Drosophila melanogaster: one gene and its partners. The protein of the gene in region 4 interacts with the protein of the main gene of each other region in a pairwise test. Each region holds a gene or a part of one and is shown on either strand. Other genes may lie near its edges. The genes, in order: CG11327, CG3939, CG2021 and RpL35.

Region 1 (5,223 bases), on a different chromosome or scaffold from region 4:
CATTCGTTTTATTGCATTGCAATCATCTTAATTCGTTTTTGCAATTACTTTTTAACTTAACGAAGGCGCCCAGTGCCTCCAGGTTGGCTATCCGCCCTACTTTCACTGCATCTCGTGTCCAATGGGCCACGAGGTGAACGGAACCAGCTGCCGGGATATGAATGAGTGCCTGCTCTACGATCCTTGCGACGAGCTGGCGACGTGCACCAATCTTAGTCCTGGCTTCCAGTGCAGCCCGTGTCCCGTTGGCTTCGATGGCACCCACGCCCATGGCTACTTCGCCGACTACTACTCCGTGGATTATCGCAGGCAAACGTGCCTGGACGTCGATGAGTGCCGCACTGGGTTCTTCCGATGCCCGGAGCATTCTACTTGCATCAACGAGATTGTGAGTACGATACAAATTTAAAAAAAAATAGTTTAAAAGTAATAGATTTCTTTCGCAGGGTTCCTACAGATGCCAATGCCACGAAGGATATGTAACAAATGGCACCTACAGCTGCCTAGACAGATCCTCGGTGTTCATGTGTCCGGATGGAACCGTTTGTGACCGCAATGCCGTGTGCCTTAGGATGGATAACATCCGCCACAAGTGTCACTGCAATGTGGGATGGGCGGGCAACGGTTTGATTTGCGGTAGGGATACCGACGTAGATGGATGGCCAGATCAGGCAATCGGTTGTCCAGAGCTGCGCTGTCAGCGAGACAACTGCCCGAAGTTGCCTAATTCAGGCCAGGAGGACGCCGATCTGGATGGACATGGCGATGGGTGCGACGACGATGCCGATGGCGACAATGTCCAGAACAGCCAAGACAACTGCTGGCTGGCCTACAACACCGAGCAGCTGGACTCGGATGGAGACAAGGTGGGCGATGTGTGCGACAACTGCGTGCTTAAGTACAATCCCAGGCAGTTGGACACGGACGAGGATGGACTGGGAGACGAGTGCGATGGTGATATCGACAACGACTCCATACCAAATGCGCTAGACAACTGTCCGCTGCTGCCGAATCCCAGTCAGTCGGACGTGGACAACGATGGTGTGGGCGACGCTTGCGATAACTGTCCGAATCTTCCGAATCCCGACCAAAAGGATCGCGACATGGACTTTGTAGGCGATGCCTGTCACAGAGACATCGACGGGGATGATGATGGAGTTCCAAACTCGCTGGACAACTGCCCAATGGTCAGTAACTCGGACCAGCTGGACACTGACGGTGATGGAACGGGCGATGAGTGCGATGACGACATGGACGGAGATGGGATACCCAACTACAAGGACAACTGTCCGCTGGCCAAGAACCCAAAGCAGGACGACTTCAATCGGAATGGCAAGGGTGACTCTTGCGAAGATGATGAGGACGTAGATGGTGTACCGAATGGCATGGACAACTGCCCGAACAACTCGATGATTCATCACACTGACTTTCGCACTCTTCAAACCATTCCACTGGATCCCAAAGGCCTATCGCAAGCGGATCCCAACTGGGTGGTACACGCCAATGGCACCGAGATAGTCCAGACCCTCAATTCGGATCCGGGACTAGCGGTGGGCAAGGACGCCTTCGGAGGCGTTGACTTCGACGGCACCTTTTATATCAACGATGACACGGACGATGACTACGCTGGCTTTGTGTTCAGCTACCAGAGCAGCTACAAGTACTACGTGGTGCAGTGGAAGAAGGGCACCCAAACCTACTGGGAGCCACGACCCTTCACCGCCTCTGCGGCGCCGGGCATCCAGATCAAGCTGGTCAACAGCACCGAGGGTCCGGGCCCAATGATGAGGAACAGCCTGTGGCACGAGGGAAACACCGACGGTGAGGCCAGGCTGCTGTGGAAGGATCCGAAGAACATTGCGTGGAAGGAAAGGACCTCCTACCGCTGGTCCCTGGTGCATCGACCGGCCATCGGCCTCATCCGCCTGCAGTGAGTGATGGCACCATGACAGGGTTCCCATGTCTTCATTCTCCTTCTACCCACAGAATGCACGAGGGTAACCGCCTGATCTTCGACTCGGGCAATGTGTTTGACTCCACGCTGAAGGGCGGTCGGCTGGGCGTGTTCTGCTTCTCACAGAGGATGATTATATGGTCCAACCTGCAGTACAAGTGCAATAGTAAGGGAAATCGAAACAAAGTGGTAACTTCAACTGAACTAAACTTTTTTCTATGCTTTTCAAAACAGATCGTGTGAAGCCGCTGATCTACAATGATCTGTCCGACTATCTCAAGACGAAGGTGGAGTTGCAGGACTGAGGGGAATCGCAATCCTCAGAGCCATTAACGTCTTTTCTGCCATCAATTCTAACCAAATTATGTATTAATGCTACCACTAAGTTAATAAATGAGTTGCCAATCCAGTTGGCCATTGGAGCCGCGTTTTCCAACACAAAAATGAACTGAATCAAGTTGGCCTGGCTGCACGTGAAATCAGGAGACATTGCCTGTCAATCCATTTAGTTCAATTGCCACAGTTAGGCGAACACACTTTCGCTAGGGAACGTTTTGATCACCGAAATAAGGGAAAACCCATGTTGAAAACATTGATATAATATTTCACGGATGTCGAACTAGTTAACCAGGTTAAATTCAGTCAGTCTTGCGTAAATTTATAAAGGGTAAGTTGGAGCACAGTGCTCTACCAAATTGTGCTGACCTCATTCATTTATGCGTCCAAATAGCCACGATGGCCAGCCGCAATGTGCAAGCAACTCCATCCCAGGAAGAGCTGAAGCGGACTGAGAACAACAAGAATGTGAAAAACTCCGAAGAATGTCAATCAATGGAAAACGATGTGGACGCGGTTGTCCCATCTTCGTCGGAGAGTGAGCTGCGGCCTCGCAGTTCGGGAGTTAGGCCCACTAAAATTCCGGCTCCACTTTTCTTGGGACCCAGTGCCAGCAGCCGGATCTACAGTTCACTGATGCCCGAGAGAAAGCGACGCTCCTCCATGGAAAGTCAACAGATGGCCGACGATTCTGGCATCAATTTGGATTGCTCCACGGACGAGCAGCAGACTACGCTGTCGGCCAGACCGAGTCCAATGCTGCAGCCGATGCTCGACAGGATTCCGGACACTAGCAGCGAGTTGGAGCTCCGACTGGCAGAGGAGCAGACTCTCAAGGAACTTCAACGCGTCGTCGCCGAAATGGAGGCTGATGTGGCTTTTAATAATTTAGATATGCAAAATCTACTGCCCGATGATATTGACCAGGATACACAGGTGCAATATGACGCCACTGATGTGGATACACAGTTGCAAAATGAAGCCTCTGATGTGGAGAATGGTGCCGAGTCTTCCGGACTAGATATGGAACAGCTGACAGGAAACGATATTCAGCAGGAAACACTTCCTGAAACACAACCCGAAGAACTTATACCAGGAAATGTACAGATGGTGGAAAAAGAAATTGCACCGAAAGGGGAATTTCCAGAAATAAAGGAAACTGCCGTGGAAATAGAATCTTTAAAGGAATTCGAAATTGTCCAGCATTTGGGCGAAGAGCCAATAGATGAACACACAGAGATCGTCCAAGAGACCCCGCAAGATCCTACAGACGTAGAATCCGAGAAATCTGTACCCGAATCGGATATGGAGGAACTCGAAACGTTAATTAATGAAAGTAGCGAGTCCGAAGAGGACAGGCTTGTTCGTGAACAATTCGAGAAATACCCTGAAACATTGGAGCCCATGTTTCATCCAACGGCGGATGAGATTGTGTGCATTGACTCGGTCCCGGAACTGGCCGACCATCCCTCACTAGATGGGTCGGTGCAAAACGGTCGCGAGATGGTTACTTTGGATGAACTATTTGATCCGGAGTACAATGTGCACCTAATGCGCCAACTTTTGCAGGCCAGAATAGAAGAGAATAGCGAAGTTGAAACAGCTCCAGACTTGATAGAAAGTGAGCAAGCGGAAGAAAGGGAGACGCTGACGGGCCCGGAGGCGGAAATCGATATGGAGGAGGAAACGGATCCGGACCTAAAACAAACTGGCAAGCCCTTGAGTTTCTTGAGGCGTCTAGTCAACCACAGAATCCTTAAGCTTAGCTATCCCATATTGTTCTGCAGCTTGGCTTTCAGTTTGGTCTATATAATTCGCAAGGAGTAGAAGTTCACTATTCTAGAAATGCAAATTGGATAATGCGAACTTGCGAGAGCATACGTTTCACTACGGTATATCTTAGGAAACACTTCAAAATCGCCCGACGCATTGGCATAGTTGGGTTGCTTTAAATATCTATTTTCCAAATAAATATCCACAATATCACGGCCGCACTGTTTGTAATTTGTATAATTTGTATGTATATTTGAATTAAAGCGCCAATTACTTAACATTCTTTTTGAAACGAGCGCTAGGTGGCGCCTTTGTCAGGTCATACTCTTGTTGGCTAGGGCAGGGTAACGGTTATCGATAACCGGAAACTGCACCTGCCCGTTTACTGTTTTCCCGGAATAATTACCGATGGAGGAACGGCGGAATTCTAAACATGGGGAATTTTTTATTTATTTTTTTTTTTTTGAATGTATAGAGGAATCGTGAAAAATAGCAATGATACGAACTTACAGATCTAACTATGTCGGTGGGACACGGAGAGACTGGTCGGCGGGACTAGTACTAGACGACGGGAAAGAAAATTAATAAATGAAAAGGCTAATTTGACGCAATTCCCGGAATAATAGTTTTTACTTGGAAAATAGTTTGGGATTATTGCAAGTTTTAGTTTTACATAACTATTATATTGAATACAAATATCTTTACTGAACCGCTCCTGTTCAAAGGCAATATTTTTTCGCGTGCTAGCGTGCGGTCACACTGCAGTCGCATACGGTTGTTTCCATATGAACGAACAAACTGTTTTTTTAGCGGAGTGCGCTGCTGTGAAATTTTGAAAGCTCTTTTTGGACCCTTTAATTTTATGTAACGGCTGTGCGGCACATTCAATATCCAAGCGAAAGGAGGTCCACACACTCCCCTGGCGCCGCCTGAGCGTGGTCGTCCTGCTCCGCGCTTCTAGCACCATCACCTCCACCACCACCCCCCCAACCCGTGAAACATAACGCGAAAATCGATTTCGGCTGCAGGCGCAGGAAGAAACTGAAGAAAGTATGTCCCACGGCGATGTGGACCCCGAGGTAGAGATGACATCGCCCCACCGTATTCATGGGGACGCAGGAAGTCACCCAAGGTCGCAGACATTCTGGAAGCTACAGTGC
Region 2 (4,608 bases), 2.5 Mb from region 4:
TGTCCTTGTGTTGTGTGCGTTGTGTTTTCCGCTCTTATGTCAAAACATAACAAAAAAAAAAAAATGTACTATGTGTTAAATTACAATATTTGGAACATTTCGACTAGATCTCCTTCTTGGACTCGTCCACTTCCGTTTCCGCTGCCATTGCTGTTGCATTCAATGGCGGATTTTCAGATTCCTCGGCATCGTCATCACTGACGTTCTCCGTCTTCTTGCCGCCCGGAACGAAGGGGCAAACGCCGCCCTTGCACTCGAATGGGAAGTCGGGTCCCTTTTTGATCACATTGCCATCGTCGTCCTTCTTCTCCCAGGGATTCCAGTAGCGCAACAGGATCGGCTGCACAAATTTGTGCCAAATGTACAGAAGCAGTGGAATGATAATACAGGGCACGCAAACCATTGTTCGGGCTTTAAAAATGGTTAGTTATTGGCGTTGCAAGTGATTACAACAATTGCGGAACGTACCTATTTAATGTTAGCTTACTGGCTCCGGAAAAAAAGTATTTCTCGCTTTGATTTCCTTAATTCAACTATTTATTTATTGTCAAAAATGTCAGTGTAGCCAGTTCACTTGTGTTTGGTATTGAGCCTAAAAACGCCACGCATATACTGTTATCTTAAAAAAAAAAAATACGTACTCTCTAGCAAAGAACGCAACCGGTTGGACTAATATAGTCCGGACTCGAACCAAACCGTTTGAAATCTATTAACCCTTATGTGCACACCTTAGCTTTTTTTTTGCTTTTTTTTTTAGATTTTTTAACACCATGCGCATTTACAATACAGTTGAAATTTTGTCATATCATATATTTATTTCATTTGCACAGTGCTTAACCCATCAATGGGCAACGGTAGGGAACGCCAGAGCGACAACAGTACTCCCTGCCCGCCTGCAGATTGGTATTAACCCATTGATTGTGACAGTTCTTGATGAACAAATAGGCCCGTTCCTTGTGACAATCGTGACCCAGTGCGGAGCATACTATATTTGCGGAATTCGGCAGATGTTGTACGATCTAAAATGGACGAAATGGTGAGTTATAGAGCGCTTCTCCTCATCTTTTCCTCCTCGTTTCCCCAGTACTCACCGTCTCTAGGCATTTGGTTTGACACTGCTTGCGACCGATGGCATTGCAGGGAAACATATGATCCAATTCCTGGTGGATAAGTGGCTTTGTCGGCAAGCCATTTGGGATTTGCGAGGAGAGGAAGACGCCGCATGTGCACGGCACTGGCTGATTATCCTGCACAGGCAGTCCCGCTGTCGGTGGCAAGGGAATGGTGCTAACCAGACTGCTGCTGCTCGATGGGTTTGTGCTCATCAGCGGACTCGCGGTGGTTGGCTCCATCGATCGTGTGGATCCTTCCGACGATCCGATGATGGGTGCCTCGCCAACGGTCGTTTCGGTGGTGCCATTGTTACCAATGGTTTCCGTGCTGGCTTCCAATTCGCTTGCGGGCGTTGTCATAATCACAAACTCAACGGCCGTGGGCCAATCCTCTTCGGCTGTTGTGCTGCTACTTGCAACACCAGTGCTGCTCATGGTGCTGGTTTCCAGTTTGACGGGCTTCGTCTTTATACGCTTGTCCTTGATGATGTTGCTATTGCCATAGAGCGGCTTCTTGTAGACTATCTTGGATGCCTCCAAATGGATGGCTAGCAGAAGTGTCAGCAGCAGCAGGGAATTTTTAAAGGCGCCTGATATATGAAATATATACGATATGAAATGTGTTCTTTAGCTAATATTACTTTCAAAGCTTACCCATCTTGGTATCTACGGAAACACTGAATACTTCTGCCTTTGCGCCATCCATTTTATATAAGCCATTTTCTTACTTGGCTTGCAGTTTTTCAAGATTTCGGTCTTCCATTTTAGTCGGCCCCCAACGAAGTTCAAGTTGTGAGAACCGGCAAAATTGTGTCAGGGTTAAGTCTGATTAAGCAGAATTTTCACACAAAGCGAGTGGAATTCATTCATTTGGAGGAAAGTGAGAAGAAAGAAAAAGAATTACTTCCGAAAATTATGCGTAATCAATAAACCCAAAAGTTGTGTCTTGAGCTGCACAAAGTTTACCTTACCGTTCTAAACTACTTTCCAAAATCTTTTTAAATATCCCGCCAAACTGCAATGAAACTGTTATGATTATAATAACATAATGGATAACATAAATAAACGGCCGATTAAACAGCAATTATTATCCAAATTATACAAGTTATAATATGGTAATATTAACAAACATTTCAACATAAGCAAAGCTTTGGTTTTTAATCTAATTATAGATTTAATTTAATTTTCATTTTTTGGTTTGTTTTTCGTTAAGTTAGTATTTTTTGCGCTGTTTATGGAACTTAACAGAAATACCAATCAATATTGGGCGGCCAACATTTGAAATATAAATACAGATTATCGATATGTATCTTGAACGAAGTTTTAAATGTTTGTTATTTGTTAAACTCAACAATCCTATAGATTTATGCCATAAAAATGTCAAAATTATCGTTGCTTCAAATGATTTAAGTACAAAATTCGAGTTTCGATAAACGGTTAACAGTGCCGTACTCACCACGGTGCGCCCAACAGCACGCACACACAGCCGGCTGTGGTGGGTTCGCTGGACAGGCAGTGTGGTGAATATACTAGTTGCTGGAGCTTGCCGCAAAAAAAAAAAAAAAGAAAACAAAACAGATCGAAAAACACAGCAAACAACAAAATTATACGCCATTAATTACCCGATAAACTTACCGATGGCCGATAAGCAACGGCTAAGTGATCCGTAACACCCAGCGATAAGATCCAGATAAGATTGGAATTAAATTTTGGGTTTGCCATCCGCATCGAAATCGCCGCAATCGGAATTTACTTGTACACCAGCCAACTCGCCGTTCAAGACGTCCAAGTTTTTTTTAATCCAGAAATCCCATACACTGCCAAAATGCCCGAATATGTGCCGGCACGGGGCTTCAAGGAGATGGAAAATCTGATCAAGCTGTACGAGAACCAGCGCAGCCCCATCTACATCTACTTCTACGGCGAGAAAGACAAGGACGGACGCAGCTGGTGTCCGGACTGCGTGGCGGGTAGGTGACGAATTCTCCTCGCCCAGCGGGGCGTTACTAGTCCAGTTGGGCACTCTACATTCTGCTTATCACGCTTCTCATTTGTGGGTTTCAGTTAGTTACTTTCTACCCAGCTAACTTGAGTTACTTTTGATTTGATTTTCGCTCTCCATTGAGAGTTCCATCTACATTGTACATTGTCCTCATCATTTCGATTCATTTCATCGCAGAGTTATAACATAACATAAAGAAGTGACATACATTAAGTTAATCCCATTATCGCTGATATTTTCCAGCCGAGGAAACTATCATGAGTGCCTTTCGCAACCACGCGCCGGCGGATTGCATGATCCTGGTGGTGGACGTGGGTAGCCGGGAATCCTGGATAGGCAAGGACAACATGTTCCGAAAGCCGCCATACTCGGTGGAAGGCATACCGACCCTTATACGCTGGAAGGGCGTGGAGCGCCTGGATGGGGATCAGCTGCTCAAGTCGAGTCTTCTGGAGCTCTTTTTCGAGGAGACCGATCCGAAGAAGTCCAATTTTGTCGCCCAATAAAACGCGATTTGGCTTTGGCTTAAACTCACTCCCACTCTCAGTCTCTCTCTCTATCACTCTCTCTCTCTCTCTCTCGCTGCGGCTCTCTTTCTCTTTGCTGCTTTGCGCTCAACTCGGTGGAAAGAACGAGTGAAATTGTCGTTGGGAGGGGTGGTGCTAAAAAAGGGGGGAATGGAGAAATGGGGGAGAACAGAATGAGTGGAGCATTTCTGGCTGGCAGCGCGTCGCTCGGCATTTACTCGTTTATTTGCACGCATGTCGTCGACCAGGACGAATCGTTTGGCAGAGCGCGGCTGAAAAAGGAATCGAAAACGGGGCTATAACGGTAATAGCGGCACACGCGTCCAACGGTAAACACGCGTGCCAACGCGCCATCTCGCTCGCACGCGCTAATGCCGCGATTTAAGTTTTGTTTTATTTTTTGCAAGTGTTCGAATCAAAAAGCCTAACAAAACACAAAACCCGAAACAGTTCTCAAGAAATACATAGGTAAATGCAAAGTAAGATATGTATATATGTAGCTAAACATAGCGGAAAAGCGCAGAGTATCATTGAATTTGAAGCACACGACCGCACAGTTTTGCAAGCTGATTAACTGTAAACATGCTGAACATAAACAATGGATAAAAAAACATGATAGATCCTGCCTAAAAGTGAATGGTTATAAATTAAGAATGGGCTTGCAACGGTAAATCCTGTTGCGTTTTGCTTTAACTGTTTGAAAATAAAAAAAAATATATATTTAATAATAGAATAATAAAAGGTTTCGTAAGTAAAGTAACATCAAAACTAAACTAAAGGTAAATGTATAAATTGATCAAATGTTTTAAAAAGTAATACGTTCAATATTTAGCCAATGCAAAACCAGGCAAACGCAATTTACCGTAACTTCTTAGCCAAAAACCCTGTTGCTTCGGCCGCGTTGCATATTAATTGTGTGGCAAGACTGTTGCTTCTTCTCGTTCGATTTGTTTGGTAACTTTTACGT
Region 3 (3,520 bases), on a different chromosome or scaffold from region 4:
CAGGAATTCAAGTCCTGCCTGCGCGCCCTCGGCTACGACCTGCCCATGGTGGAGGAGGGACAGCCCGACCCGGAGTTCGAAGCAATTCTCGATGTTGTCGACCCCAACCGCGATGGCTACGTCTCTCTGCAGGAATACATCGCGTTCATGATCTCCAAGGAGACGGAGAACGTTCAATCCTACGAGGAGATCGAGAATGCCTTCCGCGCCATCACCGCTGCCGACCGCCCCTATGTAACTAAGGAGGAGCTCTACTGCGTAAGTTCAATATTCCTCGATTACTGAAAGTTTCAACCCATGCCACTACTAACATCTTTGCTTTCTTGCCACAGAACCTCACCAAGGACATGGCTGACTACTGCGTGCAGCGCATGAAACCCTTCTCGGAACCGCGCTCCGGCCAGCCCATCAAGGATGCCCTGGACTACATAGACTTCACGCGAACGCTGTTCCAGAACTAAAGAGCCTGCATTGTCTTATTTAGTGGCGCCTGAGCATATGTCTTACAATTTAAAGTATATTTCTAAAAACCAACAAAACACAAAAAAAAATCAAACAAAAATATATATTTACACCATTATTTTCGATAATTTAGTCTCTAAGTCAAACAGTTTAATGCTTATTTAAGAACCTATGCCACAATGAACCTTAAATCAACAATAGCACCTTGCAATACATATTTATCAACATGACTATGAACCATTTCTAGTTTTTGCATTTATTTATCAACAGCCCAATGAGAAAGTATCTTAAATTTTGACGTTTCAGTTTGAGAATTGGCTACGCGTCCGGTCGCCGAAGAAGATATCTAATCGAGAACATTGTCACAGTAATTTGATCAACTTGCGCCTGAAAAGCAGATAAAAAGCTTAGCTTCCAGTAATCGAGCACACATTTTCAATATTGAATGTCTGTAACTTGTAACGAACATAGATACAACTGATATACCAAAAAGATTTAAGATACTCTTGCTACCAGAAATGCATAATAACCAGCCTTTTATGTTTCCTCCAGTTTCTACGTGTATTCGAAACGAAAGTAGTAAGCTTTTTCAAAGCAGAAAAAAAAAAGAAAAACAAAACAATAAATATTTGCCTCTGTATTGGACGTATATTTACAACTCGTGAATTGCAAAAATAAATATATTGCTGCATGTCTAAATATGTTAAATGAGTGGAGTTTTTATTAAAAATTCAGGGGAGTCTGTAATCTGATTTTGCAGAAGGAAGTTGGCAAAAGTATCAGCATCTCACCAGATTCTTCTCAAATGAAAGGCAGCTAGTAGATAGATATTCCTCTGAAGTATTTTTATTTATTTGTTAGATATCAAAACAATTTTAACAATTACGATTACAACAAGAACTTTTTAACGCTTTGGGCATAGGCTGTATTGGTCAGCTTTTCATTGAGCGCCTCCTTGGGAAGCCACTCGAACTTGGTCAGATTTTCGGGCACCTGGCCGGACCGCAGGGATGCTCTGTAGAAGAAGACCTTGGCTCCGACAGTCTCCGTCCGCTGGTTTCTGGGATACTTGTATTTGTGGAAGCCCACTGGGGCGTTGCCGTAGAAAAGAACCTGCAGCTCCTGGCCGCAACTCTCGCGGAGCACTCTTTCTGCAGTCTGACGCATGGACTCTCCCTCCTCACGCTTTCCCTGCGGTAGAATGAGGTGCTCCTGCTGGCCCAGCTTCTGCTGTACCAAAAGGTAGAGCGTGTCATCCAGACAGCGGTCCGTGGAGGTGGTTCTGTTGGCCTGGTCATCGGGCGTGGTGCGGGAGCCCAACTGGAACTTTTTTAGCTCCTCGACGTAGGCGTCCTTGAGGTCCTGAGCTGTCTGCTTGGATCCTGCGTCCTCCAAGTCCACCTGGATCTTGCCCTGCTTTATGAGCTCCGCCTGGACGATCTCACGTTCATGCTTGAGTTCATGGTCAGACTTCAGGCTGTTTTCGTACTCCACGCGCCATAGCAAGTCTTGGAACTGTTTTTCCAGCGGATTAAGGGACTTGGACACCACAGGGAGACGCTCTACGAGCACTCCGGCGTACAGGTCCCACTTTTCCGCGCTGGCGGTTGACGATTGGGCTCGGCTCAACTCCCGGGCACCCACTTGGACAATGCGACGCAGCATTTTAATCAGTTTAATTTAATTTTTTCGGAAAATAGAATGTTGACCACCGATTACATGAGCACCAGAGCCGGAACAGCTGATTTGCGGCACAGTTATCGTTATCGGAGAGCGCGTCGCTAGCCTCTTGCCACAATTAGTATTTATTTTGTTCTGTTTGGAGAAGTTATCAAGGAAAGACTGCTAAAATGTCCGGTCTGGAGTCGTATATCAATCACACAGTCTCCATCATTACGGCAGACGGACGGAACTTCATCGGGACACTCAAGGGATTCGACCAGACCATCAATATCATCATAGACGAGTGCCATGAGCGCGTCTTCTCTACCACCTCCGGCATCGAGCAAATCGTGCTGGGACTGCACATCATCCGGGGGGACAACATCGCGGTGATCGGACTGATAGACGAGACCATCGACTCCCGCCTGGATTTGGCCAACATTAGGGGCGAGCCGCTGGGTCCCGTGGTGCACTAGGATAGCGAATAAAACCAGTGATTCTCAAGACTTAACAGGGTGTATTATTTGTATTAATGAAGTTTCTTATTCTGCATCTACGCTAAAGTTGACCATGCGGCAATCCAGCGTATCCAGGTCAACGACGGCCACACTCTGTGTTTTGCTAAAACTGGGCACGCAGACTAGGCGGGTGCGCTTGCCTTCGGAACCCTCGTGCAGCTCGGTCGCAAACGACTCGCAGTTGCCGGCGTAGTAAACGTGCGGACACTCGCGCAGGATGAAGGGATCACTTTCGATGTACGGGTAGCACGCTAGAGTGTCCGGTGCAGTGGGAGCAACATGTCCCCAGGTGAGGGTGCAGCGAAGGGCCTCCAGCGCCGAGTCCAGCGAAGTGCTGCGCAACAGATCCGATACATTCTGGCCAGATGTGCCTACCACCAGGGCCTCATCCAGCCGGCAGCTGTACGGATTAGTCACCGCCTGGAAAGTTGCCAGTTGAGCAGCCTGGGGAAACATGCACTTGTGGAACGGCTGCTGGGGCAGCATAAAGTTGGCCGGGTCGTAGGGTCCCGGCATTATGTCGACGGGCAGACTGCGTGCCCATGAGGCAAACCACTGGTCTAGCTGGGAAACGGCCTGGACTGTGTCATTTGCGTTCGCCTGGGTGCGTGCCACCTGTAGGGTGGGCACATGTGCCATGGCACTGGCTCTCACCGAGTTTCCAGCCACGATAAGACGCACCATGGAGCCCGCTTCCTTGTTGTTTCCAAGACTGCCGGCCAGCCAGTACTGAAAGAGATTCAATGCCTCCACAAATTTGTGGGCCTGCAGTTGGTCCAACCCAGACGCCAGCACCAGGAGGCGGCTTCTTTTAATGGGGGCCAGTGGCTTCTGAGGTCCACTTTCGTAGAAGAGTATATCCTCCACGTTAAAAAATC
Region 4 (4,462 bases):
GCGAGATGGGCCTGGACGAGGCCACCTTCTCCTGCACAATACTCAAGAAGGAGGGGCGATCGATCAAGAAGACGCTGTTCGTGATCGGCTTCCTGCTGCCTTGCCTGGTGATCATCGTTTCGTACTCGTGCATCTACATTACGGTGCTGCACCAGAAAAAGAAGATTCGCAACCACGATAACTTCCAGATCGCAGCGGCCAAGGGCTCCTCGTCGTCCGGCGGCGGATCCTACATGACCACCACATGCACGCGCAAGGCGCGCGAAGACAATCGACTGACCGTCATGATGGTCACCATCTTTCTGTGCTTCCTCGTCTGCTTCCTGCCGCTAATGCTGGCCAATGTGGTGGACGACGAGCGCAATACCTCGTACCCCTGGCTGCACATCATCGCCTCCGTGATGGCCTGGGCTTCCAGTGTCATTAACCCGATCATCTATGCGGCCAGCAATCGCAACTACAGGTAAGTTTGCTGGCAGTTTTGGCTGCTATCGGGTTTAGCTGCTAATAGCGAATCTATCTTCTATTTCAGAGTGGCCTACTACAAGATCTTTGCGCTGCTCAAGTTCTGGGGCGAACCGTTGTCGCCGATGCCGAGTAGAAACTATCACCAAAGCAAGAACTCCAAGGAGCTGTCGGGCGTCATCCGCAGCACGCCGCTGTTTCACGCTGTGCAGAAGAATAGTATTAACCAAATGTGCCAAACATATTCAGTATGATCGAGCTCGCAGTCGAGAGCTTGTAATTCATATCAATTACCTACTTATTACTTGTTAGTTCATAATTATTTACGATGTATGGCCGTGCTTACATCAAAGACAATCGAATTAAATACATATACGTAGACCAATTGAGAATTCTGGTGTTTTTCAAGTTTGCATATTCAAAGAAGGCTGAATTAAAGATTGAACTTAAGATTTGCCATTACTTCTACAAGGCGCTAACTCAACGTTTTTGCTCTATAATGATCTTAAGGACCACAAGTAGTTAAGTAGATCCCATTGGATCCGACTAACATATGTAGAACAGGGAATGCGGCACTTGTTTTTTTGTTTTTTAACTAATTTCCATGAACCCATGGCCAAAGCCATGTGCCACTCGCGTTTTTTCGGTCACAAAATCAAACACGCATCGCTATTTTCACTTTAAAAAAAAGATTTTATTTAGTTTTTCTTCTTCATTGTACCGAAGAACCCTTAACGCGCACTATAGACAGTCGGAGTATCTGGATGCATTCTAGGCCTTGACGGCGAACTTCCTCTGGGGGAAGACGGAGCGCTTGCGGATCTCCTTGAGGGTCTTGCGGTTGGCGTCGCGCGGAGACAGGGCCTTGCGGATAGCGCGGGTCTTCTTCTTGCGCAGATCCAGGGGCTTGTACTTCTTGTTCTTGAAGACCTTGCGCAGATTCTCCTTCTGCTTCTGGTGCATCACAATGTAGACGCGAGCGATGGCCTTGCGGACAACGCGGCTGTATGGATAAGAACGCACATAAATGCACAAAACACCGGAATTAGTTCGTGACGCTTGTCGTTGTGCCGCGGCATACTCACATCTTGGAGAGCTTGGAGGGAGCTCCGCCGGTCACCTTGGCCACGCGCAGGCTGAGCAACTCATTCTTGAGCTCATCCAATTGCTTGGTGAGTTCCTTCTTGTCCTTGATCCTCAGCTCGGAGCACTTAACCTTCACCTGGACGGGAGCACAAACAAACGGGCAGAAAACAAGAACATTAGTATCGCTGCACTGCAAATGGCATGTTCATTGGCCCTTGGGCTGAGAGCATCGGGTGTCGATGGGTGTAACCAACCAACCATTTTTCTAGCTCTGCTCTTTAACACTCAGCACAGAACAAAAAAACCAACGAATTTTCCGTATTCACTAAACCAGCAAATTAAGAAATTCAGCACGTGGCTTAACGCAACCTCTCCGGAAACGCGGCGAAAAGAAAAGGAAAGAAGAAGAAGCAGAGGTGCTAGGGGTGAGCACAAAATAGTGTGCTAGCGTTGCGCGTCTCAACTAGCGTGGTACTGCATTATTAATCGCATTTTGTGTTAACACCATGAACGGCAGTAATTTGGGGCGCGTTTTAGCCATTACTTTGGCTTTTAATTGTTCGTTTCGTTGTAAAATAGGTTAGAAATCTTTTCGCTCACAAAATACCAACCATTTTTCTCGCTGGTCACGTCAAAAAAGAAAGATGGGACTTGGAGGAAAGAACTAGTTGGTGGTGGCACTATTGTAACTTCGAGCGTCGAACCAGTGGCAACGCTGATATCGAACCGGTTCCGAGTCCGTCATTAAAATAGATAAATCAAATTACTACGATTGCAAAAATATTCAATCACAATATTTACTTTTTTATTTTGCTAATGCCAATGAAAAGCTAAATAATACCATTTTAGAGAGCTATAAAATTAAGACATTACGCGTTTCGGAATTATTTTTCGAGGAAAATTATTTCTTATATAATTTAAACGTTTATATAAAATAATTATAACACCAACTATTTTGAGCGCAGAAGGAATCCTAAATTTATGATATTTTATAATTATTTTTTATAATTAATTTTTTTTTTTTAATTAATTTTTATACAACAATATAAGGAACGCACTGTTACCTATGTGGCAACAAAATTTGATCTGCTTAACGTGTTTTAGTTTTCATTGCGCGTTTATTATGGTAGTAACAACAGAATTATTTTTTTAAATATAGTTAGTCCTCCTAAGTCAAGACCCGATCGGTTTTGTTAAAAGGGTGGAATTAAATTATTTTAAGAAGCTAAATGTGTGTGCAAAAAAGTAGCCAGATTACGGCCACAGGTCACCACTAGATCGAAGTGGCGGTCTGGCAAGGCTGCTGTTACAGTGGTCCATCTCTATCGTGAGAATGTAAACAAAGCAGCAAGGTGGCAACGCCGCACTCACTTACTCCAGATAATCTACATAAATAATACAATTGGCAATATTCTTATCGTTTTAAGTAAATAACAGTAGTGATAAGCATTAAGCGGAGCTCAAACCACACAATGGCTGATCGGGCTATCAAGCTGCTGGTGATCGGGGAAAGCGGCGTGGGCAAGTCCAGGTGCAGTCCCAAGTCCATGGAGCAATTCCACTGCGTATATTACCAAAAGCTTGCATCACTCATCAACTTTCATTATCATTTCATCATAGTTTGATACGTCGCTTCGTGGAGAACAAGTTCGACCAGAACCATGACGTCACGATTGGCATGGACTTCAAGAGCAAAGTGATGCAGGTGGACGGCATAGACTACAAGGTGGCCCTGTGGGATACGGCGGGCGCCGAGAGATTCCGCAGCCTGACGCCCAGTTTCTATCGGAAGGCTCTGGGCGCCATTCTAGTGTACGACATCACCAGCAGGGACAGCCTGGTCAAGCTGGAAACCTGGCTGGCTGAACTGGATAGCTACAGCGACAATCCCAACATTGCCATCATTGTGGTAGGCAACAAGATCGACGAGGAGCGAGTTGTGGATCGCGAGGAGGGTCGAAAGTTTGCCAGGAAGCACAGGGCGCTCTTCATCGAGACCTCAGCCAAATGCGATCAGTTCGTCAGCGATGTGTTCAAAGATGTGGTGGAGAAGGTGAGCTAGCTACCAACCAAATACTTGGCATTCGTGTTTCCAATTATCCACATCCGCTTTGCAGATCGTCTCCTCCGAATACTTCAACAATGGCAATGCCTCCGCCGGTCTGGACATCGCCAGCGATCGGGATCTGGAGGCAAGCGCGTCTACGTGTTACTGTTGATTTCGAATGTTATGCGTGCTTTTGTCAAATTTATATCGTGTATTTATTTAATCGTTTCAATATCACTAGCATAAAGTCAATCAACCTTAACGTTCAATCGTGTACTCCAATCTGAGCAGGGCTATCGATTCACTTAGCTTGCAGGGTTTGCAGATCAGTCAGAATCCTTTTTAAATTCTATCCTTCTAATATTCCTGTACGGCTTATTGTCCATCTGCTTGCATTTCGTCTGCGACCAGTCAAAAGTCAAGTTCAGCATTTTCTTTTCATTATTTTATTGACATGATGATAGTTTTCCATTTGCGTTCACAAACGCAACAAATAAAGTGGAGAATTGGATTAGTGACCAACTGAAATGTACATGGGCTATGCGATTTTTTTTATTTCTATTGCATCTGGTGGTGTAAATTTATAAGTGAGTTCGGTTTATATTTACAATTATCGATGATTAATATTTATTAATTAACGCTAACAAGGTGGATTTAGAAATCAATGAAGCTGTTCTTCACGATTGGCTCGCTCGCTATTCATCAATTTCTTGTAAATCCCTTGCACGCGACGGATGCTTAGAAAACAAAGCTGGACATTTGGCCGCAACAATTCCCGGAGCACGCCCCTTATGTACATTTTTGTAATCGCATAGGTTCCGTAAGAGTAACTTAGAATCTAACTTCACGCTGTTGCTCCTCCAT

What was found.
Region 1: the proteins of RpL35 (region 4) and CG11327 interact in a two-hybrid assay, tested with the Drosophila melanogaster proteins (one large-scale study listed by BioGRID).
Region 2: the proteins of RpL35 (region 4) and CG3939 interact in a two-hybrid assay, tested with the Drosophila melanogaster proteins (one large-scale study listed by BioGRID).
Region 3: the proteins of RpL35 (region 4) and CG2021 interact in a two-hybrid assay, tested with the Drosophila melanogaster proteins (one large-scale study listed by BioGRID).

What each region holds. Positions count from the first base shown.
Region 1 is NT_033779.5:6,683,961-6,689,183, reverse strand, and holds CG11327 (uncharacterized protein), read left to right. Parts: upstream 1-2,471; 5' UTR 2,472-2,621; intron 2,622-2,684; 5' UTR 2,685-2,689; coding exon 2,690-4,117; 3' UTR 4,118-4,342; downstream 4,343-5,223. Other genes in the region: Tsp (thrombospondin), read left to right, coding at 66-388, 447-1,930, 1,987-2,120, 2,189-2,259.
Region 2 is NC_004354.4:3,172,577-3,177,184, forward strand, and holds CG3939 (uncharacterized protein), read left to right. Parts: upstream 1-2,441; 5' UTR 2,442-2,937; coding exon 2,938-3,082; intron 3,083-3,357; coding exon 3,358-3,620; 3' UTR 3,621-3,647; downstream 3,648-4,608. Other genes in the region: CG18508 (uncharacterized protein), read right to left, coding at 104-403; Fcp3C (follicle cell protein 3C), read right to left, coding at 834-1,019, 1,092-1,702, 1,767-1,818.
Region 3 is NT_037436.4:1,776,123-1,779,642, reverse strand, and holds CG2021 (uncharacterized protein), read left to right. Parts: upstream 1-2,231; 5' UTR 2,232-2,312; coding exon 2,313-2,600; 3' UTR 2,601-2,633; downstream 2,634-3,520. Other genes in the region: alpha-Spec (alpha spectrin), read left to right, coding at 1-258, 333-461; mRpL46 (mitochondrial ribosomal protein L46), read right to left, coding at 1,351-2,127; PolD2 (DNA polymerase delta subunit 2), read right to left, coding at 2,667-3,520.
Region 4 is NC_004354.4:5,670,223-5,674,684, reverse strand, and holds RpL35 (ribosomal protein L35), read right to left. Parts: upstream 2,285-4,462; 5' UTR 2,166-2,284; coding exon 2,163-2,165; intron 1,952-2,162; exon of another isoform or gene 1,813-1,951; coding exon of another isoform or gene 1,810-1,812; intron 1,688-1,809; coding exon 1,551-1,687; intron 1,469-1,550; coding exon 1,237-1,468; 3' UTR 1,138-1,236; downstream 1-1,137. Other genes in the region: Tre1 (trapped in endoderm 1), read left to right, coding at 1-463, 512-719; Rab18, read left to right, coding at 3,024-3,082, 3,172-3,604, 3,669-3,770.